Linked DNA regions of Rattus norvegicus. The main gene of each other region encodes a partner of the protein of the gene in region 5 in a complex. Links are inferred from orthologs where the notes say so. Each region holds a gene or a part of one and is shown on either strand. Other genes may lie near its edges. The genes, in order: Rbm48, Rbmx2, Gpkow, Plrg1, Eftud2, Snrpd3 and Snip1.

Region 1 (4,126 bases), on a different chromosome or scaffold from region 5:
ACAGTGAACTAAGCTGGAATTTGGTGACAGTGACTGATTCCTTTTAGCCAACAGAAAGCGAACTAGACAGTTAAAGAATATTTAATATTTGGTGAAGACAAACTAATTAACAATAGGAATAATTCCGATGAAATTGGTGTGTTTTGATAGGCGGACTGTAAAAGCAAGATAAATCAAAGAGGAAATAAAGGTGGAATACAAGTCATTTCAAACTCTTGGATATTTCTTTTATGAGCCAGTATTCCGCTACCAAGCACCTAGGACTTTAGATTTCAAATAGTCTAACCCCATGAATACACTCAAACTAGAGAGTCTGTGCTCACTCTTAATAAAACATGGAGGCTGTCTCTCCACCGATGGAGTAATCCTGGCTTCGCAGGTGAAAGTACGAGGTGTGAATAATTCCATTGCCTTGTCACCCCCCCACCCCTTGTGGTGTCCGAAGTCCTCCTAAGCAGGGAGAGCTGTCACTTTATTAACCTTTGGCACAGGTTGGAAACCTTGGTAATCTACCAATCAAGTCTGCCACTCAATGCTTCTATGGCTGCACTGGCAACTTGTTGGCAGGATAACGCTTTAGCAAAACCAGTAAGAGCTCTCTAGAGCTTTCCATCCTAGAGTGAGGACCGCTTCTGAATGCTGAGGCAGAACCCTAGTATGTTCAGTCTGGTTTAACCGAGTTAAAAGGGTGCCCAGTAGGGTCTGGGGATGCACTAGTCGGGGTGTAGGTGCACACACTGCCTCCCCACGCCATGCCCGCAGAGGGCCCTCGCTCACGCCTCAGTGCGGGTTCGGTGGCAAACACTGTCCGGACCGGGAAAGGTGTCAGCGAACACTAGTCCCACAAGACATCGATGGTGTCCGCGTCCGGTCATCGCGTTACCTGCAGCAGGTGAAGCTGGGCCACGAGGTGCCGTGGCAGATGGAGGAAGCAGTCCCGAGCATTCGTGAAGGCCACCGTCACGACCGCCCCACCAGACCCCGCACCGGCTAAGCGATCACTGCTCCACATTGTCCCAAGGTTCAACTCTCGCCGGAGAGCCGAGTCCGCCGGCTTCCCGTCAGGCCAGGGCGTCGGAGCCCGAGAACATCGATCGGGGCCGCCCCCCTCTTCACTCGCCTGACCGCTGTCACTCTCGGATCGCTCCTCCGAGGCTCTAGGGGGCGGCACATCGCTCGTCGAAGTCTCGCTCTCCGGAAACAATCGTCGATGGGGTCGATCCTCCAGCCAATCCTAACACGCTTGGCCCATACTGCTCTCTCATTGGACACAAAGGAGCACCGCTGGCGGATGTTGTTCTGGCGCGGGGGCTTGAAGCCGGCAAGATGGCCTCCAGTGACGGGAAACCCGGTGGCATATTCGACCACCACGTCCAGACAGCTGTGTGTGACTCGCGGGCCAAATACAGGGAGGGCCGACGCCCTCGCGCGGTCAAGGTAGAGTGACTTGGGTTCCTTCTCTCTCCTCGGCAGGAGCATTAACTTCCTGTCAGCACTAGCTCTCCATGGCCTGCCTCCATAAAGGCACGGCAGGGATGCTGTCAAGTCCATCTCTCAGTGGAGGGGGCACGAGGAACAAAGTTTATCGCTGTTGTCGGTTTACTGCTTACTCCACGATTTTTAGCTTTGCATCCTATAATACAAGGACAAGGTCTCACAGGACAAGCCCTGTTAAGTGACTGTTTACATTAGCTTCTCTGGGGTCAACTTTGGGAAAAGACGTCTGTTTAGTCAGATACCCTTATGTGGAGTGTGTTATTCTTTAGGCAGAAAGAGTGACAGTTTTGTGTGTATGTTTTGCAGACCATATTGAGCAGAGTATTTCTTGTTTTCAAAGCTCCATTTAAAAGAGGGATGGGAAGACAGATTTGCCATAGGCTTGTTTGAAGAGTACGTTTAACGGGCTCTCCCCCGACTTTAGGTATATACCATCAATTTGGAGTCTCAGTACTTACTAATACAAGGAGTTCCTGCAGTGGGAGCCATGAAGGAATTAGTTGAGAGATTTGCTCTCTATGGTGCGATTGAACAGTATAATGCTCTAGATGAATACCCAGCAGAAGATTTTACAGAAGTTTATCTCATTAAATTTGTGAAATTACAAAGTGCAAGGTATGTACAAGTTAAGCAGAACTCGCGTCTTCTATTCCTGTTGCCGTCATTTCGGCCTCAGGATTTCCCAAACAGACCCAAATCACATGAGCACTTCTCACTCTCAGTCTTCCTGATTTGGGGGTTGGGGAGCAGGGTTTATTTGAATAGCTTTAGCTGTGCTGGAATTAGTTCGATAGACCAGGCTGGCCTTGAACTCAAAGAACCCTTTGTCTCTGCCTCCCGAGTGTTGGGTCCAAAGGTGTGCAACACCCCATCTCGCCTTCTGGTTTAGTTTTTACCAGGCCTCACATATGCAGTCAGTCACTCTAACAGTGAATGATATCCCAGCTCTTCCTTCTGATGTTCGAAAGGCTGACTTTACAACACTTTTCCCATCCTGTGCTTGATGGTTTCTGAACCTGGAGTGTGGTAGATTTGGGAGATGAGGAATTACATTTGAAGCACATTTCCAGTCCTATGGCTTCCTGACTTTGGAGAATTTTATTCCTGCCAAGCACATTTTTTTTTCTTTTCCTAAAATCCACAGGGCAAAAAGGTCTACTTCTTGAGGTTCACTGAGGAAGGATGAAATGAAACAATTTATGTAAAAGGATTAGACTGGTACCTCCTATTAAGAGTAAATATTAGAGCCAGGCAGTGGTGGCACAGGCCTTTAATCCTAGCACCTGGGAGGCAGAGGCAGGTAGATTGAGGTCGAGGCCAGCCTTGTCTACAGAGCTAATTGCAGGACAGCCAGAGCTACCCAGAGAAACTGTGTCTCCAAAAAAACAAACAAACAAACAAAAAAAACCAAAAAACAAAAACAAAAAGTAAATATTAGTAATGACAGTTCTTATTAGTATGGTTCTATGTTAATCAACCTTGTATTCCAATAAGACTGAAGTCAACAATGCTTTATTTTATGTTAACCCTTTGGGTGGGGGAGTGTGTGACTGTAGGTGGGTGCACGCCTGCGTGTGTAAAACTTGCTATGTAGGCCAGCTGACTAGAACTCAACTTCCTCCTGAATCTGCCTCCCCATCCCCACCAGGTTTAAAGACATGTACCACTACAGTGTACTCTACCCTATGTTTTGAGACGAGACCCTTATTGAAACTAGAACTCATGGCTAGATTGGTTGGCCATCAGGCTCCAGTGGTCTTACCTTCTCTATCTCGCCAGCACAGGGATTATAGGCACAGTACGGTGCCTAGTTTTTATGTGCACGCTAGGGATCTGAGCCTAGCTACTCAAGCTTAAACAAGTACTTTTTCAACTGAGCAGTCTCCCTAGCTCATGTTAGCCATTTTTTCTTTTTAATCATTAACATGATCTAAACCATATCCTTCTCTGGCTTTTGCCATTTATAAATGTTTTGGTGGAAAAGGGCTTCAAATCCTCTGGCACTGGAGTTACAGGTGGTTGTAAGCTATCCAAAATGGGTCTGGGATTTGAATCTACTCTTCCCAAAATCAGCAAGTGCTCTTATCACCCACCTAATTATCCCTCCAGCCCCTGTGTTTCTTTTGTTCGCTACTCCTAGTCCACCACAAAATCACTTGACTTCAAAAGGCCATGTGCCTTTTCTTACCAAGTGGGCAACTCTTCGTGGTATAGAGAGCAGATTCTCTAGCGCCTTGTATCTCTACAGACCCTGATACAGTTGGCTTTGGAGTCAGCCATCTGAGTTGAATCCTAGTTTTATAGATGAATGTATGTGACCCAGAATTTCCCGGTGCCTTGGTTTTACCATGAGATGGTTATGAGATGTCAATTTAAGTGGCACACTTGTGGCTTTGCATGGAGTAATCGCTCAATAAACATTAATCATTATCTGTAGATACAGAAGTACTTAATTACTTACAGTGCTTGGTTCAGCATAGGTGTTCAGCATTTCTTTTTTAAACATTATTATTTCTCTTATTTTTATGTGTATGTGGCGTGGCTATTTGTTAATTGTTTTTGAACCATGTAACTTATGCATTTCTTTAGCATTCTCTTTAAGTTATGCATTTCTTTTTAGGATAGCTAA
Region 2 (4,174 bases), on a different chromosome or scaffold from region 5:
CCCACACCAGCCAACCAATCAAGGGAAAGAAAAGTAAATGTCACCCACCCTACCCTGACAGACTTTAAATTGACCCTACAGAGCACACACCTAGGCTTTCATTTCCAAATGGGGAGACTCTTGCATGCAGGAAATTCTGCTGAATAAACACTCTTTGCTTTTGTATACTATTTGAGTCTGGGGGGTATCATTCTTCTGCTACTCTTGGACCCTAACACTCACAAAAAGGAACTCCTATTTTCTGTTTACATACTGATTTCTGGATAATTGTGATATGAATAATTATTAATTATATGATAATTATGATATGAAGTATTCAAGTACATATAGATTTCCCCTTATACCATTAGTTCTATGCATGCAGAAAACCAGTCCTCCAGATTCCTTCTATAGACCAACTGTACAGAACAAATTTAGATGCTCAATAAGGGATGATTAAATTAGCCTGACCTGATTGGTACAAGCTCAAGACATTTCAAGTTAAGCAAATTTTAAAAGATTTATTAGTTTTACTCATGTGTATGTATATCTGTGCATGCCATGGGAGTGCAAATGCCCACAGAAACCAGAGGAGGAGGATGGATCTTCTGAAGTTGGAGTTGTGAGCCACTTGTTTTGGGTGCTGGGATCTGAATACAGGTTCTCTGGAAAAATCACCAAATGGTCTTAACCACTGAACCACCTCCCTAGACATTCAAGCTAATTTGTTGAAGCTCAGTTTTTTTTTCCTCTGTAAAGTAGGGGTGGTAACTGTATTTCATGGGGTTGTTGGGAGGCCAGCTTGGTCTACAGAGCGATGTCCAAGACAGCTAGGGCTACACAAAGAAACCCTGTATGTAAAGAAACAGAGATTGAATGAAAAATGAAAATGGCAGAAACTGAGCCCCTTGGAGGCAGAGGTTTAGGGTAGGGGCAGCCACTGGTGTGAGACTTAGCCTGGGTTTGAGACCTAACAGAGACAACATGCATAAATTTTCTATCATTTGGAACCTTTACATTCTCTAACTCTTCAATTGTTAGGTACTAATTTGACAATGCTAATTTTTGCCTGCCTCTGGAAAAAGGCCACATCCGTTATTTAAATCTGTGGGCATTTAATTCAGACTGCAGAAGCACACGGATCCACTGTAACGCCCAGGTTCCCACCTTCGAGCTACACCAAAAAGGGAAGCAGGGAATAACTAGGGAACTATTTCGCCCCTGGAGCAAAAGCGTGAGAAAGCGCGTTTGCGTTACTGCGCATGTGCCGAGGCTTAGCGCGCCGGAAGTCCCGCCTCCATTTCCGTTGGCTCCAATCTGAGCTGAGTGTTCGGGTTGCGCGCGCGCTTCGGAGCCTCACCCGGAAGCTGATGTCTTAAGAGCGGAGCGCGAAGATGCGAATATGAAGTAAGGATTTAGTTTCTCTGAGGACAGGGGAGGGAGTTTCTCTGAGGAAGGGAGAATGGATTGAGGAGGGCCGCCCATAAGGGCGGGGACAGGTCCTCGCCTTCAGGGCCTCGGGGCGGGAGACGACCGGTACGTAGAAGGCGGGCTGTGAGGAAATGTACTTAAACGTCTTTCCCTTCTCCCGCACAGCCCTTTAACTAAGGTGAAGCTGATCAACGAACTGAATGAGCGAGAGGTTCAACTTGGGGTGGCAGAAAAGGTGTCTTGGCACTCGGAATACAAAGACAGCGCCTGGATCTTTCTTGGTGAGGTCTACATTTTTCTCTAGCAGTGCCTTTCAGAGTCTGTACCTCCCCTCCCCTCCTCCCCCTTCCTCCTGGTTGTTTAGCGCCCCTGGTCGTCACCTCTGAACACGCTGCTCGTCACCTCACACTCTTGCAGCTAGTCTGCTCACAGGTTCCTTTTTCACTTGGCCCCTATGATACTGCTTAGAAATTGGTATTTGCCATTCATTATATGAAAAATCTTGCCACTTGGTTGCTTAGAGACAGTTAACTCCCCAGGCAACCCATAGTGATGTCAAGGAAACTGAGGCGCACAGGGGTTACTGGGCTTGCTTAAGGTGCTGCATCACTCAAAACTATAGGGCTGTGTTCTTAGTCCTTATTGCATGTCTATTATCTGCCGTTTCTCAGAATTATTTTCCTCTTGTAAGTGGCTGCTTCTCCCAGTTCTTTGTTGTATTGTTAGGTACCAGAACAGACATTAACTGGCTTGGACGACATTGAGGGTTTCTCCTGCTTAACATTTGAAAGGCTATCTGAAAATGTGGAGGGATGTGAGCTTTGTTGTTCATTAAGGGAAAACTACTGATGAAAAGAATACAGTCTGGATTACACCCCTGGCCCTGGGTAGATACCGGGACATTTTCAGGAATCCTAAATGTTACATGCTTGTGTTCCCCTTCCTTAAGACAATCCAACAGGCTTTAAATTTTCTGGCCAGGAGTCACCTGTCAGGAAAGCTCAGTCATCTAAAGACACGCTAAGGACATGGGAGGGAAATGATCCCCAGTGCAGTTGTTACTGGTCTCTGTGTTAAGTCTACCTGTTATTCTGAGTTCTCACTTATCCCCTGCCCTCCCTTTCTGTCCATTCTCTGGATGCTGGCTGGAATCCTGAACATGCTTGCCCGGAACACTTTGGACTGTCTCATTCCAAATCTAAAGGCTCTCCTATCCCCTTGAACCACTCCTCTACCTCCATCTCTGTGCATTGCTGCTTGCTTGACCGCTAATTCAGAAGGCATGGCTGCTTCTTCTGCAGCTCCTTCATCCCAGTAGCTGCTGAAGCTTACAACTTGCTTCCCTATCAGCTCTCTCTCAAATGCTAATAAAATGGACCTCAAGCTTCCTCCTTAGTCTGCTTTAGAATTATATTATCAAGATAAGACATTACTAGCCTTTGTAAAAGGGGAACTCTTAACTCTCTGGTGACAATATTATTATCCTGTATTCACTTTATGTCCCAACCAAAATCCTGCAGTTTACCTTTGGAAAGAGGCTGTTGTAATAGGTATTGTGTTAAGCACTTTATATTCCTCATTTTACTTTATTTCTCTAACACTCCTGTGAGGCAAATATGATACCATCCCATTTTTACACTTGAGGGAAAACATGGAGGGAGGGGAAATTGTTTCCTATGAAATGCTTAATATTATCCCTTATAAATCTTAGCTTGCACATAAGTGAGGGTAATAATAGTATACTTAAACTTGCTGTTTATGAGATTGAGTCTTGTGCAGGAAATCACCTGCTTTATAGGATTTTTGGATGTGAGGATTCAAAGATAAAATTAATTTGGTGAGTGATGACCCCAGCCTTTCCACTCAGAGTTACTATTTTTTTCTCTTTCTCTTCTCTTCTTTTCTTTCCCTCCTTTCCCTTCCTTTTCTCCTTTTTTTCTCTCTCTCCCTCCCTTCCTTCTTCCCTCCCTCCTTCCCTCCTTCCCTCCTTTTCTCTCTCTCTCTCTTCCCCCCTCCCTCCCTCTGTACCTCCCTCTCCCTCTTTCTTCCTTTCTTTCTCTCTTTCTTTGAGGCAGAGTTTTACTATGAAACCACTGTGTAGACCAGGCTTGCCTGGAACTCACAGAGATCTGAGAGTTAATTACTTTCCTTCCGGACTACTGTCACTATACCCACTCATTCTATCATTGGATTAGACTGATATATTTGAGATTGTGGCTTGTTTAATCTGTACCTCCAGTGCCTAGCATGCAGTAAACACTTGCTTAATGTTTGTTGAACCCAAGTGTTTGTTTTCTTCTAGGAGGGCTTCCTTATGAACTGACAGAAGGAGACATCATCTGTGTGTTCTCACAGTAAGTCCTCTGTTGTTACCTATCTCCTGGGTGCATAGAACAGTTTGCTTCCATAGAGTATTTTTGTAACAGCAACAAAGCATTTCAAGCTGGGTGTGGAGTTGTACACCTCTATAAGAGGCTGAGGTAGGAAGATCACTTGGAGTGAGACCCTGCCTCAAAAAGCCATGAAAACCATTTAATTCTAGGCTGAATGACATCCATGCATGGGGAAGGCTAGAGTCTAGCTCAGTCCCAGGTTAGATAAGGTTCCAGAGAATTACCACATGGGAGATCCCAAAGCTTGGATCATTTGAGAGTCTGTCTGAGGGACTTTAGTCCGTTTCTGTCATTTTTACTGAGCTTCGTTCTGCATGGGCTTACATTGGAACAGACAGGCATTCAGGAAGATGCAGTATTGCCCCTTCTCT
Region 3 (4,260 bases), on a different chromosome or scaffold from region 5:
AAGAGAGAGAGAGAGAGAGTAGAGGCAAGCCATGAGCATGTGGAGAGGGAAGGGAGAGGAATGAGGAGAGAGGGGGAGCAGGAGCAAGAGAACAGAGCAAGAGAGAGAGGAGGGGGCAAGCAGCCGCTTTTATAGTCAGTTTGGCACACCTAGCTGTTGCCAAGTAACTGTGGGACAGAGTTTAGAGTAAATGCTAACAGCTGTTGTCCTCGTAAACAAAGCAACTCGTCAAACCATCACTGATGGGGAAAAAGTACAATAGGCCCCTTCCTCCCCTGCTGAGCCATCTCTCTAGCCCTGCCTCTGAAATTCTTGTCCCAAACTTATAACCTCAGACTAATAGCGAAAAGTTAACACAACAAGCTTTATTGGCGTTATGTTCTTCAAAATAACTGAGCTATATTTTTAAAAATCAGTAAAGACGGGGTTGGGGATTTAGCTCAGTGGTAGAGCGCTTGCCTAGCAAGCGCAAGGCCCTGGGTTCGGTCCCCAGCTCCGAAAAAAAAAAAAAAAGAAAAAAAAGAAAAATCAGTAAAGACAAAGACTAAAAAACTAGCACTAAAGACTACAGAAGACAAAGGAGGCATACAATTATATTGCAGTGTATGAGATATCAAAACTGGATCCTAGAAGGAAAAAATGCTTAATTAACAGAATCGCACCCAGGGATAGGGGTGTGGCTCAGTGATTAAAAAGAAGCAACATTATACAAATGTTCATCTCCTGTTTTGGATAATTTATAACACTGTTATGGAAAATCTGTAATGTTATCTTGGTCAAAAAATATGGGGGCTAAGTATGAACAGTTGTGCTGCTCTGGCTGGGGGAAAAAAGCAACTGAGTCAAGCAAAGAGGCTTCAACCCAGAAGGTCCTGGCTCTTCATGCCAAAAACCAGAAGACACTGCCTCATCCAAAAGCTCAAAAGGGTTAGAAAAGTGCAACATAGAGATTATGTGTAACAAAGGCACTTTACAAGAAAGCATAAGAAACTGGGGAATGGGAGAGAAAAAAAGAAATTAAAGGAATACAGATTAATGGTACAGTGCTTCCCTAGACGAGGCCCTAAGTTAAATTATTAGCACTGCAAACTGAACCACATCCCAGGTACAATCCTGGTTTTTCACCTTATTGACACTTTCTACATCAGTAAGATTCACATTGTGGAAAAGCACATTAAATTATGTGCTTGTCAAATACAAGATTTATTTATTTTGTTTTGTATATATAAATATTTTGCCTGTATGTACATCGTGTGCGTACATGTCGGAAGAGGGTAGAACTGAATTCCTAACGGTTTAATACCCAGGAATAACCTAATCAATCTTCCACCGCGACTACACCACTAAGAACTACATTTCCCGGAATGCTTAGTACGGCACCTTACTATGACGTTTAAAGAGTTCCCAAGCTCTAATTCCTGTTTCCCACGGCTTCAAGGCACCTGTTCTTGAGGCGTTGCATTCTGGGATAGATTCTGGCGTTCCTGGGCGGCCCTTAAGGTACTAGAGTTAAACTTCCCAGCAGGCAGAGCGCTCGCCTGGGACTCGAGCCAAGATGGCGGGCCGTGAGAGTCCGCCACCGGCTGCCGCGTCCACAGCTCCGATTTCTTTCGGTTTCACTCGCACATCTGTCCGGAGGCGACTGGCAGACCTCGGAGACAGCGAAGGACAGGCCCCAGAGAAGAAAGATTTCTTGGCGACTGTGGAAGGGAGGGAGCTGCAGAGGTGAAACGCCGGGTCTTTTCACGTCTTAGAAATCGGTGAAATGGGCTTAAGCGGGAGGGCAGAGTAAGGTGAAACGCCGGGTCTTTTCACGTTTTAGAAATCGGTGAAATGGGCTTAAGCGGGAGGGCAGAGTAAGAGAAATTTATGCTGGTGACAGTGGCCTGGAAAGCCTGAAACAGCTTCGGGAAATTTATGGAGGTAACCAGGAGTGGCGGCAAATGCCTGTAAGTCAAGACCTGGGAGGCTGGCGCAGGAGGATCAAGAATTGAACGCCAACCTGGGCAATTTGAGAGCCTATATTAAAAAAAAAAAAAAACAAAGAAATTACTAAAATAAGGGCAAGAAGAGGGAGGTTTGTTATGTGGATGAAATGGGGCTTGAGAATCAGAGATATAAATTCCTCAGAGAAAAAGTCGTGTGCCTTTTAAGAAAGGGAAAGGAGGGAGAATGACAGGATTCTTCCTGTCTCAACTGAAATGGTGGGTGCTTCTCCGATTTGAAGAATGAGGCAAAGTCAAGTTTTGGGAGGCCATCATCAGTATAATTAAGAAAGGAAGATCCTAGAGGCCTAAGTGGGGGACTTCTAAACGGCAGTTTATGGGCCTGGAACTAAGAAGCTAGACTAAAGGTGGTGAGTTGTAGGTCATTATGCTTTAAGGCCTAAGAATGATTTGCACAAGACACATTTAAAGCTGGGACCCCGGAGAGAAATGATACATTTGTATTGGTTGTATTTCCAGCACTAGGAAGTTGTACCAGGTTGACTGAGAGTTTATAAGACCAGCATGGGATGCATCGTGAGATGTCTCAAAAAAGATGAGTGGACCTTTAATAGTAACCTGTGGAACATGGTCCATAGGGCTAGGCATTGATATTTATTTTGTTTGTTTGTTTCTTTCTGGCCATTGTTTATTTTCTTTGTTTCTTGATATTTTTACTTTATTTAGAGGGGGTGTCAAGACAGGGTCTCTCCATGTAGACCAGGCTGGCCTTGAACTCAGGGATCCTCCTGCTTCTGCCTCCTGAGTGCTGCTGGGATTAAAGGCATGCATTACCACTACCCGGCTGATATTTCTACTTTCTAATATGTCTACAACCCTTTTTCTCTATCCACATCAGTGTGAACCCTCCAGAAGCTCCAAAGGAGCTGGTTATCCCATTGATCCAGAATGGCTCTCGCAGGCAACTGCTGTCCAAGAACCCTAAGCCCTCAGAAACAAGCACCGTGTTGACGTCAGATGGTGTGTTGTCCCAGGCTGTGAAGGAACTCATTGAGGGTGAGTGAAAACCTTCCTCTTTGCTCTGCCCTAGTGCAGATAGAAGGGGAAGAAGTTGGAAGGATAGGGTATGGCCTCATTGATCCCTCCCATTCTTCCTTAGAATCCAAGAAGTCTCTGGAGGAGAGGGAGAATGCAGGTGTTGACCCCACGCTCACTATCCCCATGATCCAGAAAGGATGTACTCCCATTGGGGAAGGAACATACAGCGAACCTCAGGCTGAGACAGTGAGCTGTCCCTTTGCCTCCCTCCTACACTATTCCTTCTACCCTGTCTGCCTAGTCTCCTTGCACATAGCAGGGAAAGTGTGTGTGCATGTCCCAAAGCCCTGCCAATTAGCCTTTCCTCCTTCCACCCTTATTAGAAGCATTAACAAAACAGAAAGCAGGGTGTTTAAAAATGTACGTGAATGCTGGGATTATCTGAATGAGGTAGACAACAAAGTGGACAGGAAATACAAATGCCATGAGGGTGTACACTGTTTGGAACCACATTTGTCTGTTTCCTCTTTCTTTTTTCTTTGTTCTGATTTTAGCCTGCAGTGTTTGAGGAGCACTAAGGAAACCTATTACTGGATTGGAATGAATGGGGAGGGAGTGGGCAGTAGATGAAGGCAGAGGGGGCCAGATTAGAAAGGGCATTCTGACCCACAGAGCAGACTTTTGTCTTTTACTATGAGTGGAGTGAGAGCTAAGGGGAAGTCTTGAGCAGACAGGGTTAGAACAGGGTCCCCTTTGTCTGCCCTGACCAAAAATGACTAGGAAGTGAAGGTAGGGCAGGAAGGGAGTAGACTAATCCAGAATAGAGGTCGTAAGGATACACACACATAGAAGTGACTGGAGTGAGAACTGGAAGGGTAGTTAACATTTAGTGAGAGAAGAATGATCAGACTGGGGACTCCGAATGGCAGCAACAACCCAAGAAACCCACCCTTGTGGGAAATCAGTTCTGAGGCATCTTGCAGTGTGCCGAGTAATGATAAAGGAATGAAGAAATGACAACAGATGAGATGGAAAATGTGTTTGTAGAAATAAAGTTTGAGCTCAGCTTCTTAATGTTTTAGCTTTTTTTTTTTTTTCTTTTTTCTTTTCGACATAGGGTTTCTTTGTGTAACAGAGCTCCTCTGGCTGTCCTGAACTCACTTATGTAGACCAGGCTGGCCTCGAAGTCACAGAGATCCACCTCACTCTGCCTTCTGAATGCTGTAATTAAATGGGCCTGGCTAGTGTTTTAGCTTTTATTCATAAAATGTTTGTG
Region 4 (3,416 bases), on a different chromosome or scaffold from region 5:
AGTGGCATTCAAACTTGTTTTGTAAGCATGTTAACTGCCTACTGTTGGTTCTGTGTAACTTACAGAAGTATGTTTTCTGTGATGACAGGATGAAAGCATAGTTCTCTGTAGAAGTGTGGTGGAAAGTTCTCTGAGAGCCAGACTGGTACTGCAGTTAGAGCGTCAGGTGGACTGGGTTTAGAAAGTTGGTGTTGATGTGCCAGTGTATCTACTGTTAACCCTTTATCGGTGTGTACATGGATGTACTGCTTAAGAATCAGCTTTTAAATTGCTTTAGGTCTCACTGTGACTGTAGCCGGACTGACCTTGCCGAATAGACCAGGCTAATGTTAAGTCCACAGAGACCCACCTGGCTCTGGAGTGCTGGGGTTAAAGGCAGTGTGCACCACCATGCCTGGGAGAAATCCCTAGTTTATTTTGAATCTTGTTTTTCTCACCCAGCATCATCTTGAAGGCCTATTATGAAAAGTTCAGTATTTTACATGAGTAGAATGTGCAGATAATTCTGTAACTTGTTCCCTATTGTTCAACGTCAAAGTTTTTAGTTTGATGGTTTTTCCTTGTGATAGCCCGCATTTGTTTAGACTGCTCTTTGTGTATTGTGTGTTGTAGTTTGATAGACCCTCATAACTACAAGGTTAGGACAAAAGTCTGAGCTGGTACAGGGAGCGCAGCTTTATCTCCAAAGTAGGTGAGCTGATGCTTGATCTGTTGTCGTGTAGCACTTCAGACAAGTGCAGGGATGTGACCACTGGAAACAGACAGAGGTCTGATTTTAAGCAGACATGCAGACATGTAGTGAGGTTAACATTTTTGTCCTTGGTATTTTCTGGATTAAGTTGCCATTCTCTCTGGTACAGTTAATGATGCTTTGTCGGTATTTTTTTGTTCTTTTATGAATTGGGAACAGTAACCTTGCCATATTCTGCAAATATTTACCCAGCTTCAATGTGCCTTTTCCCCTGCTTTTATTTGGAGAGGGATCATTTTAAAGAGACTTGATTTCCCCTGTATACATTTATTGTTATGTCAGTGTATTATGTTGGTGGGGGAAGTAACCAGGATAAAGCAGAACAATTACTTGATTTCAGATTTGGGACTTGGCCAGTGGCAAATTAAAGCTGTCATTGACTGGCCACATCAGCACAGTACGCGGTGTGATTGTGAGCACGAGGAGCCCTTACTTGTTCTCTTGTGGAGAAGACAAACAAGTGAAGTGTTGGGATCTTGAATATAACAAGGTAAGCCTGGAGCCATCGAGCTTGTTTTTATTCACTGCCGGCCCTTTGAGGGCTATGTTAGCTCTTTGCCTTGGCACTGCATCTCCGGGCCGCACTGTTGATGTTTCTGATGCTAGAAATTGTAACTTTTCCACTTTTATTTTTAGGTTATACGGCACTATCATGGCCATCTAAGTGCAGTGTATGGTCTGGATTTGCATCCAACAATCGATGTCCTGGTCACTTGTAGTCGAGATTCTACTGCTCGGGTAAATGAAATGTGGTTGTGTGGTTTTTTTAGGTGTCCTGTATCTTCTCATATTCAAACTTGGTATTAGTGGGTTTTTGTTTTGTTTTATGTTTTTAGGAGAACAGGTTCTTGACTTATCACTCACCTGGTCCCTTGGGATTCGTGACTTCTTCGTTTGCTATCGCTCTTCAGTTCGGTGTTTACTGTCGTTAATGTCCTGAATCATGTTGACATAATGACAGCCTCATAGTCTCAGCTGGTGGTTCTCAACCTGGGGTGTGATCCCTTTAGGGTTAGAATAACCCTTTCACAGGGGTCACCTAAGACCATGAGAAAACACAGATATTTATGCTCTGCTTCCTAACAGTAGCAGAATTGCAGTTATGAAGTAACAATGAAAATAACTTTATGGTTGGAGTCTCTGCAATGTGAGAAACTGTGTTAAAGGTTTGCAGCACTAGAAAGCTTGAGAACCACTGGTCTAGACTCTCACGGTGGTTTCCTGTTAGCTGTTTAATTCTCTAGTCCCATCTGGGACCAAGCTGATAGATGAATGTCCTGATCTTTCTGCCTTGGCCACTGTATCCCCATAGCACATGGGTCATTGTCCTCCATTTGCGCATTTCCTTCACGATGTTCAGACACACTGGTTTGGCAAGCTTAGAGCTTTGAGATCCGAATGCCTGTTCTTTTTCATATCATGTTGATTTTACTTTTACAGATCTGGGATGTGAGAACTAAAGCCAGTGTGCACACTTTGTCTGGACACACAAATGCAGTTGCTACCGTGAGATGCCAAGCTGCAGAGCCACAAATTATTACTGGTACGATCTGCTTCTCCACCCACTGCCATACCAGAAGCATCGCGCGCCATTCTGCAGCCGCCGTGAGCTCCCCCACCTCCGACTTATGCTCTAGTTTCTCTTTGTATCTTAATCATGGGTGTTTGAAATGCAGGCTTGCATGATGTTTTCTAAGATTCTTTTTATTTGCTTTGCTTTTTTATATTTTTTACCTTGTGCTTTTTATGTATTATAGGATATGTTAGGCATTGTTAATGCTGTTTAGAAAACTGCTATAAAATACAGTCAAGTGTCATTCTAGAACCCCATGTCCATCGTTTTAGTTTGAATCTTACTTGAATGACAGTGGATCTTTACTTCGACTGGAAGTTAATTCTTCAGTTGGTTTGTTTTGTTAACTAGAAATATTAAGATAGAAAGACTCATTTTGTTTCCTTCCCTGCCACTGGAGTTTAAAATTGCATGTTGGTTTTTATTTGCTATTTATAGGGTTTTTAGACTTGTATGCTTTGCCTGCATATATGTGGTGCATATATGTGGTGCCCACAGAGGTCAGAAGGAAGGGTCGGAGTCGCTGGAGCTGCAGTTACAGATGGTTCTCCTCACTGTATGGTGCTGGAATCTAACCTAGGCCTGCAGGAAGAGAAGGCAGGGCTCTTAGCCACTCTTTAGAGCCTCAGGCAAAAAGTTGCAAAGAACCAAATATAAAGTAACTGTAGTTTTAGGACTTTGAGGAAATTATTTACAGTGGTAGGACTTTCACTTAGTGTATAGATATATACAGACGAATTCTTTGTGTTTTGTTGTGTTTTAACTTGGGGATTCTGTCTGGGTGCCTTTATTACAGGAAGTCACGATACCACAATACGATTATGGGATCTGGTGGCTGGAAAGACACGAGTCACATTGACGAATCATAAGAAGTCAGTCAGGGCTGTGGTCTTACATCCGCTACAGTAAGTGTGTTGTGCTGATTAGCTTTTCTTTGTCTGTGTCTTAGTGAAACTCTAGCACCAGGAGGGGCTGTTTTCACACCTTCTGCCAGTGCTCCTTGCGGACAGACTTTCATCCCATCTGTTGCTCTCTTGCCTCACGTTCTATCTGGAATGAAGGGCATGGCCCCTCTACCTGTGACAAATAAGG
Region 5 (4,063 bases):
TGTGTGTGTGTGTGTGTGTGTGTGTGTGTGTCTGTTTGTCTATGTATAATTTTATACACATGTCTCCAAAGACAGCATTGGATCCTTTGGGAACATGAAGATTGCCATGTGAATGCTAGGATCTGACTCCAAGTCTTCATGGCTGCCTAGAAGTTACTCTTAAATTCTAAACCATCTTTCCAGCATCTTACTTTAAAAAAAAAGTTCTCAAAATATCACAATACAATCATCAAAACAAAAACATCAATACCAGCAGGTTATTCTACCTAATGCCAAGTTGAAAAACTGTTCCAGTCATGAATTATACAGCTAAGGACATAAACCAGGACTGTACACACCCTGAGGTATCTTTATCCTTTTAATCTAGAATGGCTTTCTAGTCTTGACTTTCACGACTTGACATTTTCAGACCACAAAGCAATGCTTTGTATCAGCAATCCCTTCGTGTGGATTTGCATCTGCTCTTAGCGGTACACCATTCCTCACTGATGATTCTCGCTGTGCCCTCAACTATGCTGACAGCGGACATGCTTGTTATAAAAGTACTCATTTTCCCTTAGTGATGATTAAGAACTCATTGTTCTTACTGCTCTTTCAAAGGACCCAGGTTCGAGTCTCAACATCCACACATTAGCTTACAATTGTCTGCAATTCCAGTGGATTTTTCCCCCACTTCAGTGACTGATATCCTGCTCAAAGGAACAGTTTAGATCCCACCCTTCAAGCTTTCCTAGCCCTTCAGCCTCTCACTTCTCACTCTCTTCAGTATCTTCTGTCCCAAATGCTAGGTGACTACTGTTATTCTCACCAACAACTCCTCTACAGTTTGTGAGCAACAAAAACCGAAGCAGGGGAAAAGCATCAGGCCCCTGGAGTTAAAGACCTCGCTCCATCGACCTCACTCCATCATCGTATCTCAGCCTCATCTCTAACGATGATGTTAACTCGTGGAACTGCATTTACCTCCCTAGAGTGAATTATCACAGCCTAAGACCTTAGAAAGGCGATGAATGTACCTAGCTATGCAGTCTGACGGCCTGGGTTCAATCCTGGAAACCCACGAAAAAGCCCCATCTGGTAGTGTGAGTGTCTGCGATTTCCTACAGGAAATGGGAGGCAGAGATTCTTTGAGGCTCAGAGCCAGTCAGTCTGGTGTTGGCAGTAACGAGGGGATCCTATCTCAAAACAGGTCAGGAGTGGAGGGACAAACCCTGAAGGTTGTCCTCTGACCTCTGCCTGCAAGCCACAGCACACCTGATCCTCATTCACCAGAGAGATTTGCAAACATACTCACAGAGAAACACACAACGTAAGATTAGCTGGGCATGAGAGCTTATACCCACGATCCTATCCTGAGATATGAGAGACCCTGTCTCAAAAAGTACAAATAAAGGGGTTGGGGATTTAGCTCAGTGGTAGAGCGCTTGCCTAGGAAGCGCAAGGCCCTGGGTTCGGTCCCCAGCTCCGAAAAAAAGAACCCCCCCCCCAAAAAAATACAAATAACAAATGTTGGTTAACATAAAACATGAGCATGTGTTCACACGCCAAAACCCTAGGCAGCACCTTGCACAAACAGACACCGAGTAAGGTTAACTGAGTAGAATGTTCAGTTTTGAAATTCTGTTATTTCTTACTGTAGACTGAATACCTCAGTGAGGAATGACTATAAATAAAATGCAGAATTAGAGTGCTAATCACTGGTAATTAAATGTCAGTCATTATGGAGACTCTGATGTAACTATTGTTTTTAGTTCTAAGAGGCCACCACAATTATGCTCAAGACTCCCACCAGAAAATGGCACAAATTTTCAAAGAAAGTTGTTTGCTCAACAAGCCAAGCTCATCTCTGCCTCAGGGCTATTGTCATTCCCATTGTCCTCTGGCTATTTATATCTTAATTCATTTAACTCACCCCTCTCCTTTAATGTCACCTATTTGCCACGCTAAAAATCCCTCCACATACACCTGTCAACCCAGCCTTACACTAATCTTAGTGTGTGGTCGGGTGATTAAGATCAAATTCTGGGCCTCACACTTCTCCACCGAGTTACACCCCCAGCCTAATAAATCAAGGTTATGCCTGAGTAGTACTTAGGAATACATGGGTGTATATCTGCTACTGACAAACGTTAATAATAAAAATCGGAGCAAAAAATGACAGTAGTGTCTGGGACAAAACAGGCCTTCAATACGTTTTGCTAGTTTTGTTTGTTGGGGGTGGGAGGATGAATTAGTTACATGCTTAGTTAAGTAAAGCTAGTCCCTAATACTAGAACTGCATCTTCCCGCTACAACACAGATCCTCAAAGGAATGCTGAAATCTTTTCTGTTTTGGCTTTTTGAACCAGACCCATTGCTTAGCCTTGAACCTGCACCAATATTCCTGCCTCTATCTCCAGCGAGGAAGAATTAGGCACCAGCTATCACAGCCAGCTTGGATGCAGAATAGTTTGAAGACGGACACAGTTTGGCTGTGAAGCAGGGACCGATAGAAGGGGGAGTGGCAGGGGTCTGGGTATTTACAGCGCCACCTCTACTAAGGCACAGGATCTTAACCACGCCGGGGACCACGGAAACGCTGGAATCGACCGTGTGAGCGTGTGTTGGGGGTCGGTGTCTTTCATTCCCTTCCCCACGCCAGAATTCAATTTACGCGTTGATTAAGCGAAAGGCATAATTCGCCTCTTCCCAAACTCGGGTTTCTTTGGTTCCCCAACCCCTGAGAATACCCTTCCCGGCCAGCTCACCCGCCGCCTGATCAGCCGAGGGCCACTAGTCCGCCGCCTGAGCCCGCGCTTCCGCCGCACGCCGCGACAACGCCGGCGCCCGTCGCCAGGAAGGACCCCGAGCGCGTCGCCGGATCGCCTCGCCTCGCAGGACAGCCCTCTGCCTGAGGAGCAGCTTCGAGGAATTTTGGCTTGGAGACAGAAACTGGAAAAGCCAATTTGTTGATCCTCAAAACGAAGCGTGAACTGTTTCAGAAAAACGCACGGTCGGAGGAGTCTCGGATCTGATCAGGCGCCTTGGGACAGCCCGAAGGGAGGGCCTTCGGGCTGGTCACGTGGGCGGGCTAGTGGCGCCGTTGCTAGGCAACAACCGCTGTTGGCTGGGCGATCCTCTAAGGTGTTCGTTCTAACAGATCGAGGGGCTTTTTCAAAAGAAAGCAAAAGGTCCAAGACTGGGGCTACTGGGTGAGGGTTTGGGGACAGTAAAGGGGATTACTCTAGGGGAAGGCTTAGAACTAGCCAGGGAAGTGGGCGGGATGGAGAGAGTCTATAGTCTCTATCGCTCCTGAGGCTGAGCCTAGAGGAAACATCATGAGCTCAGAAGTTTTGGAGAGAACTAGGCTACATAGCGAGATCTCCCCCACCCCAAAATATTGCATAGAATCTGAGACACTTGAGTACAATTGTTGGCTGGCTAACACAGCCCACTTCTTGGCTTTCCACTTCCCATCGATGGGATCCGGCATGGCTGTGGATTTGCTTGCGGATCAGCTCATTTCCTGCCCTAGGGCTGGCTGATCCTGAGTGAACTACAGCATGCAGCACCCGCTCACCAGGATTCTGAGGTGGAAAGAGGTATCATAAGTAAATGTCAGAACCCAGACAGGCACACATAGATTCCTGTGAAAACAGCCCCATCGGACACATACCACCAGAAGGGGGCAGAACTTCAGTGGTAGGACTGGAGATAATGCCACCACACATTTGCCTGCAGCCCTCCCCTGGTCAGGGATTTGGGAAGGAAGGCCACTGAGCTTTTCTCCCTCTGATAGTTCTCAACTTCCTGCGTTGCCATTGCTTTGGGTCTAGGTGATTTTTTTTCTCCATTAAAAACATTTAGTGAAGTGTGAAATTTTGTTCCTGAGCAGGAGTAGATAATAAAAGAAGCCCCCTCCTCTCTCTGTTCTCTCTCTGTGTGTTCCTTCCTTTATGGTAATAACCTGATATAGAGAAGTCCTAGGTGAAAGAATGAAGAATCAGAAATCTGAACTCCAAACTGCCCCCTCAGCTGAAGCACCAGATTGTGTGTGTGTTGTGGTTTTGTGGTTTGCTAGGGA
Region 6 (4,055 bases), on a different chromosome or scaffold from region 5:
CTTTCCCGCCCCTTTGTTGAGTGCTCTCAGGCCCCTCTTTCCCCCCCTTCCCGGCCTCAGGCTTTCCACAGCTCCCCGGGAAACAGGATCACCCAACGTGCTTCAAGCAGGGCTATTCGTTTCTGAGCAAGGTTGTGCCTTTTTGCCCCTTGGACTTTTCCACTTGACCACTCTCAGAACTCCCTGGGCTTCAAACCCCGGGAGACTCAGAACAACCATAAGTTGAGGATAAGAGATGAGAAGGAATATCCACCTAGCTAGGACCCACTAGAGGCTCCAGGCTGGGCTGAGGCCGCAGACGACCCAAGGTCGCACGCTGCCAGACCCTGCTCGGCTCCAGGGCGGAGTCCCCCCCCCCCTCGGTTCCCCCTTAGAGAGGCACTGACCCGGCTCGAGCGGCTGCCCCGCTGCCTCTACCTCCGTTCTCATGACCCGGGTGGCGCAGGGCGCCCATGGCCCCGGCCTGGAGCTGATTGCCGCTGCGATTTCTGCTGGGCGGAGAGCTCGGCCAGTGAGCGTAGAGTTCCTCCGCCGCCGTCGCCGCGGCCACCGCGGTTCAGACCCGGGTAGGCGGTGGCGAGGCCGCCTCAAGCCACGCCTAATCCCTTCCAGGTCTGGGCGCTGGAAACCCGCCCCTTCCATAAGCCACACCTCTTCCCTTCTACCCACTTCTCTTCCAGACTGCGCTCCCGGCCGGTCCTTCCCTTAAACGCTCCGGCGGCCCCGCCCTTCCTTAGCCCCGCCCCTGCCCGAGCCCCCGCCCCCAGAGCCTTTCCCGGGGCGACGTTGGCTCCCCACAAACAACCTAGCACTCTCCCGCCACTAGGTCTGCTCTTTTGCAGCCTCAGTTGTAGGCTCTGGTCCTTCGCAATGCCTCGTCGAGACTCCAAAGAATCCTTTTCCTACTCCCTTTAGGTCTTCTTACTTTGACCTTGAATAAAGATAGTTCCCAGGGCTCGGTGTGTCCCTTACCTGACGGTGACCGGATCCAAAGTTTAAATTTCTAATCCAAGCCTCACTTCCTGTCTACCCAGAGCATTGGGCGCAAGCCCAGATCCTGCCCAATCCGTCACTACAGCACTCTGTAAGCGTGGGTCCCCATGTTCCTTTGTGGGCTCGAGGATTGATGTTTCCGGCGGTCCTCGGGCCCTCCACAGTGCCGGAACTATAGTGCTAGAGGCCTGGGTTCCCCAGCCGGCTAAGTGAGAGTAAAGGGTAAGTAGGCCTAAAGGAAAGGGAGGGGCCTGCGCAAGGCATTCTGGGAGCGCGTGGTGTGAGTGATACTCGGGCCCGTCGTTTCCTCGCCTCAAGCCTTCGCCTTCTAACGTTTGTGCCGGGACCGAAAAAAAAAAAAAGCCTGCAGTTAGTTGGTGAGGAGAGGCGGCTAACGGGAGAGGGGAGGCCAGGGCTCTCCAGAGGCTTAGGAGCTGAAAGGGACGCGGAGGAGGAGCTCAGCGGGGCTTAGCGGAGGGCGGGAAGCCAGGGCCTATCCAAATATCATCTCACTAATCCTAGGAACAGTTATTTATTTACGCCTAGCCAGCACGTTCTGTGCCTTTCCAGGTCACCGATTTTCGAAGCTTACAGGCAGTCCTTTCTTGCTAGTTATCTCCTTGCCTTCCGGATCTTCGTTTTCAACGTCCTTTTCATCCCTGCGCCACTCCCATTCCTGTACTGGCCTCCCCTCCTGCTTTGCACGCTGCTGCAGACGTTTCAGCAGATTGCTCTGCTATATGTTTAATCCACTTTGTAGATGCTACTAGTTTTTTTTTAAGCCCTTGCCTATAATCCTGTAGTGTTTCCCTACCATTTTCAGCACTCTCCTAAAGTTGAAAGCCGTGGTTCCTCACCATGTTTAGCATCCTTATAGTCTTCTCATGAAAATGGGCCGTGTGCTCCGTCTAGTGTCGTTTCCCGTCTCAGAAATGTAAAAGCCCTGCGCATAGTCTTTGTTTTTTTAATGAGACTTAAGTCGAGCGTTTACCCTATTTCCCTGAATGATGAGCATTTCCTGTTTATAGCATGTTGCCGTGACGCTTTTGGTCTGCTTTTTGGTGGGGAGTCAAAAAGCTAAATTGTAAAGCACAACCTGTTTTCCTGGATTTCTCTGGGTTTAGGTCTCTTTGTACTATCAGGTACTGTAGCTTTTATCCAAATGCGGTTGCTGAGTGATTGGAATATGACTAGTGTGGCTGAGGGACAGATTTTTTTTGTTTTCATTTGCATTTTGTTTACGTGTAAACAGTTATTTGGTCGGGGTCCATATCATAGTTGTTTAAATGATTATAAAGAGAGGGACATATGACTGGGTGAGAAGGGAGGTACTCGGGGTTGGGGATTTAGCTCAGTGGTAGAGCGCTTGCCTAGGAAGCGCAAGGCCCTGGGTTCGGTCCCCAGCTCCAAAAAAAAGAACCAAAAAAAAAAGAAAAAAGAAGGGAGGTACTCTGATCCCATTCATTGGCTTTCTTTGTCCAGTTTACCATCCTTCCCTACCCTACATGTTGGGCTAACTTGCCGTCGTGGGTCCTTCAAACCAAGAGCCAGACTCCTTCCACAGAAAATGCAGCCGTGACAGAATCTGCAGAGCCTGTGGAATGCCAGTCCTTAGGCTCCGAAAGGTAACCATTGTCTCTCTCACTGCCCCATAGGAAGAGTCCTGCCAAGATGTCTATCGGTGTGCCAATTAAAGTCCTGCACGAAGCGGAAGGCCACATAGTGACATGTGAGACCAACACTGGTGAAGTGTATCGGGGGAAGCTCATTGAGGCAGAGGACAACATGAACTGCCAGGTATCCTGCTTTGCACCCGGGGCTGTGAAAGAACGGTGGCTTCTATCCTGGGGGATAAAAAGGTCTTAATGAAGTTATTCTTACCAGACAGTTACTACCTGTCAGGCACTCTGACAGGCTGTGAGATCATATGTCAATGTAGACTTAGTCTTGAGACAGGAAAGTCATTTGACAGCCTGATGTGGTAGTCCATGAATGTCCCAGCAGTTGGGAGGCTGGGGTAGATTCGAGGGTTCTAGGCCAGTGTGGGCTTTACAACAAGACCACACTGCTTTTGGTGGGGAGTCAAAAGGCCGAGTTAAAAGCCCCGCCTCTCTTCTTAGTTTTCTCTGGGGTTGGGTCTATGTGTGCTTTCAGGTAGCCTTTATCCAAATGCAGTTGCCGAGTACCTGTCCGTAAAACAACCAGTTATGTTAACTTGTTCTGTCTGTCTCGGCTCCTAGAGTAGGTCAGGTTCGGAACCGGAGTCCGCTTCCCAGCACAGTTTATAGTTTGCAGAATTTTCTGCTCACATATGTGTGTGTTTACTTTTGTCTTGGAGAAAGTTCATCTGATAAAACTACCAGAGTTTTGATAAATGGTTTTGGATTTTTTTTCTCCCATTAATTAAGAACTTGAGCTTTGGAATCAGAGAATTCTCTGATTTCAAATTGAGTTGGGCCACAATTATAGGACCTGGGGTACCTTGGCCATTCGTTCTCTCCTCTATAAAATGAGAATGGAGTTGTTTTGGATCCTCTGTGCTGTAAATGCCAACCCAGAATTAAATCCACAAAAGACTTGTTGGGGAAATGGCAGAAGGATGTCAGTGACCGAGCGGGATAGCACATGTGATTGGTTACTTTTCTTGTTGCTGTGATCAAATTCCTGACCAAAGCAACTTACGGAAGGAGGAATTTATTTTGACTCACAGTGTGATGACACAGTCTGTTGCAGAGGATGGTGTGATGGCAAGAGCTTGAGGAGGCTAATAGTCGCATTGAATGTGCAATCAGGAAGCAGAGATTAGTGCCTGCGCTTAGCCCAGTTTCTACTTTTGACCTCCACCTAATCTAGATAATCCCTCACAGACGTGCCTGTCCCTTCCTTCAGTAATTCTAAATCCATTAAGTCGATAATAGTAATGATGGTAGCAGGAGAGTCTTCAATCCAGAGAAAGGAAGGCAGATTGAGCAGAAGGAGCCTCAGACTGCAGCATGATGCTGAGCAAGTTTCCCCAAGTAAGAGGAGTGACTGGAGGCAGAAGTGGACTGGCTCTCATGTTT
Region 7 (2,488 bases), on a different chromosome or scaffold from region 5:
GACTCCTGCTGCGGTCCTGTCCTGTCTCCACCTGCCCCCAGGGCTTTCTGAGGACCAAATAGAAATAAGTAAAGGCCAGAGTCTGGATGCCAGATAAATGCTAGCAGAATCTGCTGTTTGGGAATGCATCTTTACCATTTGATACTCAACCTGTGAGGAAAGCGGTTCAGTGGTAACATCCTTATCTAACAGGAGAGAAAACTGCAGCTCAGTACAGAAAGCAATCTTAGAGCAAAACTCTGTCCACATCTAGCCCTTGGCTCTCAGTTCCTAATTCTGTTTTCCCTTCATTCGGGCTGGTGCTGAAATCATGTGCAGTGTTGGAGAAAGTCTTTGCGTAAATAGCAAGAAGCCTCGAGTTCTGCACTGGGACCTCTGTGGCCCTCCATCGCCATCTACCAGCCACAGTCAGCTTTGCCTTTTCTCCTTGTTATGTAAAGTGCTCTAAACTTCCTTATCAGCGCAGCACTTCCCTGTGATGTCCTAGAGTTTTCGTTTGAATCCTGTTCAAGCCAGGCCACTGATGTGTAAATCTGTAGCAGAGAGCTTTAAAGAAGGTAGGTGGTCTCTGGTAGGACATGGCTCACACACTTCTCTCCTTGGTCTCTCCTAGGCTTGTGGAGTACACCCGTGCTGATGGGACGGTTGGTCGGAGGGTGAAGCCCTACATCATTGACCTTGGCTCAGGCAACGGAACATTCTTGAACAACAAGCGTATTGAGCCACAGAGATACTATGAACTGAAAGAAAAAGATGTACTTAAATTTGGGTTCAGCAGCAGAGAATATGTCTTGCTTCATGAGTCTTCAGACACCTCTGAACTTGACAGGAAGGAAGATGAAGATGAGGAGGAGGAGGAGGAAATGGTGTCTGACAGCAGCTGAGAAGCAGCCTCCACTATTAGAAACCGTCCCTACCGGAGGCCGTGGGGTGACTCCAGCGCCTCTTCTTGCCTTAAGTCTTTCCTCTATTGCTGCCCAGCTTATGTTGCAGTATGAGAGCTGTCACTTCGTGTTTTGTTGAACTTGGCACAGCAGCGGCCTGCCTGTGGGCGCTTGTTTTCAGAAGAATCTCACCAATTACAGCATGTCGAGTTTGGTCAGAGTGTGTGGCTGCGGTGGGTGCCTTCAGAACTGCTGCCATAGGAAACAGCCCTTGGAAAGGGGATTGTGACTTCTCTTTGTACAGTTTCTTATTTATATAGTTGTTGAGCTTTGTGAACCAGGAGTTTTGTTTTGGGGACAAACCCTAGAGTAGAGAATCTCAGTCAGCTTTGGATGTCACCAAAACAACCTCCAGCATATACCAAAGCTTTGACCTGGTTCAGCTCTTGAGTCACAGAAGTTGGTTTTGCACTTCGTTTTTTTGGGGGGTGACAGTTTACCACGTGACCTCTTTATTGGCTGTCTGCGATAAACAGACACTGTGATGCCTGTGTAGACATGACTGTAGGGAGGTCATGGCTTCTACTGACAGGTGCTGGTGTCATGTCATACACTGGGCTGTAGATCCGCATCCTCTGAGGATTCCTGATTGCTCCATGAAGCAGACATAATGGTTTGATCATCTGGTCTTTTCTTCAGCTTTGCATTTTTATTCCGATGTCACCTCTCTTCTCCCTTTGAGAAACACTACACTGACTTTCTGGGCGGGGCCTTGCTGGGGTCTCTGGGTGTATATGTGTCTAAAGGAAGTCATGTAGCTTCCATATTTCTGCTTCATCTTTGACCATGTGTTCGTATTCAACTTCCAAGGGTAGAAAGTAAGGGACAGCCTAGGTCTTCCCACCTGGGGTCTGTGTGAGTAGAAAGATACTCCTTCCTTCCGGTCTGTGTGCTTCAGAGCTATGTGCTGATTTTCATATGACAGTGTTTTGTGATATAAATAATACCACATGATAGGCAAAGGCCTGTCTGCATTTGGAGAGCAGGTTTTCATTTATATGTATTTTTGAGATTAAAAAAATAAAATTTGTAAATATAGCCTCATTTTAGAGGGTATTACTTTTCTCACATAAATGACTTGTTCATAGGTGTGTTTGTTTCCAAAGGAGTCTGTGTAAACTGTTTTGAGGTAACAGTACTATGTGTGTAGGGAATTGTAGGGAGAGACCTGAAGTACTGAACAGGAACTGTTTATCTCAGCAAGGAGGGCATGGGTCATGAGCTGTCCGGAGGACTTGTGTCAGTGCTGTGCATTTGGTGACAACATCAGGACCACTTCCTCCTCAGGTGGAAGTGATCGTATTACCTGTGCTGCTCTTAGCTTCCCTGAGGCTAGGATTCAGGATGCTGCTGAGTAGATTTTCTTGCTTGTATAGTCAGGGGGTCACTTGTCCTCAGGGCTAGAGGCTGGCCAGGGCAGGAATGTACTTCACAGAGACTCATACAATCCCTACTGTGTCCAGAAAGCACATTGTACTTTGGGTATTTTTCTCAATTCAGACAAGGTTTTCTGTCTGAGATTCCATAATAATTGTCCTCCTACT

The links.
Region 1: Eftud2 (region 5) and Rbm48 share a complex: the UniProt entries of both Homo sapiens proteins name them as parts of the minor spliceosome. The link is inferred for Rattus norvegicus from reciprocal best matches to the Homo sapiens genes EFTUD2 and RBM48.
Region 2: Eftud2 (region 5) and Rbmx2 share a complex: the UniProt entries of both Homo sapiens proteins name them as parts of the minor spliceosome. The link is inferred for Rattus norvegicus from reciprocal best matches to the Homo sapiens genes EFTUD2 and RBMX2.
Region 3: Eftud2 (region 5) and Gpkow share a complex: the UniProt entries of both Homo sapiens proteins name them as parts of the minor spliceosome. The link is inferred for Rattus norvegicus from reciprocal best matches to the Homo sapiens genes EFTUD2 and GPKOW.
Region 4: Eftud2 (region 5) and Plrg1 share a complex: the UniProt entries of both Homo sapiens proteins name them as parts of the minor spliceosome. The link is inferred for Rattus norvegicus from reciprocal best matches to the Homo sapiens genes EFTUD2 and PLRG1.
Region 6: Eftud2 (region 5) and Snrpd3 share a complex: the UniProt entries of both Homo sapiens proteins name them as parts of the minor spliceosome. The link is inferred for Rattus norvegicus from reciprocal best matches to the Homo sapiens genes EFTUD2 and SNRPD3.
Region 7: Eftud2 (region 5) and Snip1 share a complex: the UniProt entries of both Homo sapiens proteins name them as parts of the minor spliceosome. The link is inferred for Rattus norvegicus from reciprocal best matches to the Homo sapiens genes EFTUD2 and SNIP1.

The regions. Positions count from the first base shown.
Region 1 is NC_086022.1:31,512,601-31,516,726, forward strand, and holds the start of Rbm48 (RNA-binding protein 48), read left to right. Parts: upstream 1-1,326; coding exon 1,327-1,437; intron 1,438-1,921; coding exon 1,922-2,112; intron 2,113-4,117; coding exon 4,118-4,126. Other genes in the region: peroxisomal ATPase PEX1, read right to left, coding at 884-1,012. UniProt on the Homo sapiens protein: As a component of the minor spliceosome, involved in the splicing of U12-type introns in pre-mRNAs.
Region 2 is NC_086039.1:132,765,021-132,769,194, forward strand, and holds the start of Rbmx2 (RNA-binding motif protein, X-linked 2), read left to right. Parts: upstream 1-1,374; 5' UTR 1,375-1,381; coding exon 1,382-1,386; intron 1,387-1,575; coding exon 1,576-1,691; intron 1,692-3,712; coding exon 3,713-3,764; intron 3,765-4,174. UniProt on the Homo sapiens protein: Involved in pre-mRNA splicing as component of the activated spliceosome. As a component of the minor spliceosome, involved in the splicing of U12-type introns in pre-mRNAs.
Region 3 is NC_086039.1:17,475,499-17,479,758, reverse strand, and holds the start of Gpkow (G-patch domain and KOW motifs-containing protein), read left to right. Parts: upstream 1-1,460; 5' UTR 1,461-1,555; coding exon 1,556-1,725; intron 1,726-2,844; coding exon 2,845-3,002; intron 3,003-3,105; coding exon 3,106-3,230; intron 3,231-4,260. UniProt on the Homo sapiens protein: RNA-binding protein involved in pre-mRNA splicing. As a component of the minor spliceosome, involved in the splicing of U12-type introns in pre-mRNAs.
Region 4 is NC_086020.1:170,716,188-170,719,603, forward strand, and holds part of Plrg1 (pleiotropic regulator 1), read left to right. Parts: intron 1-1,091; coding exon 1,092-1,241; intron 1,242-1,387; coding exon 1,388-1,489; intron 1,490-2,191; coding exon 2,192-2,294; intron 2,295-3,120; coding exon 3,121-3,229; intron 3,230-3,416. UniProt on the Homo sapiens protein: Involved in pre-mRNA splicing as component of the spliceosome. Component of the PRP19-CDC5L complex that forms an integral part of the spliceosome and is required for activating pre-mRNA splicing.
Region 5 is NC_086028.1:88,343,358-88,347,420, forward strand, and holds the start of Eftud2 (116 kDa U5 small nuclear ribonucleoprotein component), read right to left. Parts: upstream 2,801-4,063; 5' UTR 2,748-2,800; intron 1,096-2,747; exon of another isoform or gene 1,017-1,095; intron 1-1,016. UniProt on the Homo sapiens protein: Required for pre-mRNA splicing as component of the spliceosome, including pre-catalytic, catalytic and post-catalytic spliceosomal complexes. Component of the U5 snRNP and the U4/U6-U5 tri-snRNP complex, a building block of the spliceosome.
Region 6 is NC_086038.1:13,142,121-13,146,175, reverse strand, and holds the start of Snrpd3 (small nuclear ribonucleoprotein Sm D3), read left to right. Parts: upstream 1-1,255; 5' UTR 1,256-1,370; intron 1,371-2,648; 5' UTR 2,649-2,664; coding exon 2,665-2,790; intron 2,791-4,055. Other genes in the region: protein GUCD1, read right to left, coding at 387-642. UniProt on the Homo sapiens protein: Plays a role in pre-mRNA splicing as a core component of the spliceosomal U1, U2, U4 and U5 small nuclear ribonucleoproteins (snRNPs), the building blocks of the spliceosome.
Region 7 is NC_086023.1:142,618,515-142,621,002, forward strand, and holds the end of Snip1 (smad nuclear interacting protein 1), read left to right. Parts: intron 1-613; coding exon 614-884; 3' UTR 885-1,988; downstream 1,989-2,488. UniProt on the Homo sapiens protein: Required for pre-mRNA splicing as component of the spliceosome. As a component of the minor spliceosome, involved in the splicing of U12-type introns in pre-mRNAs. Down-regulates NF-kappa-B signaling by competing with RELA for CREBBP/EP300 binding.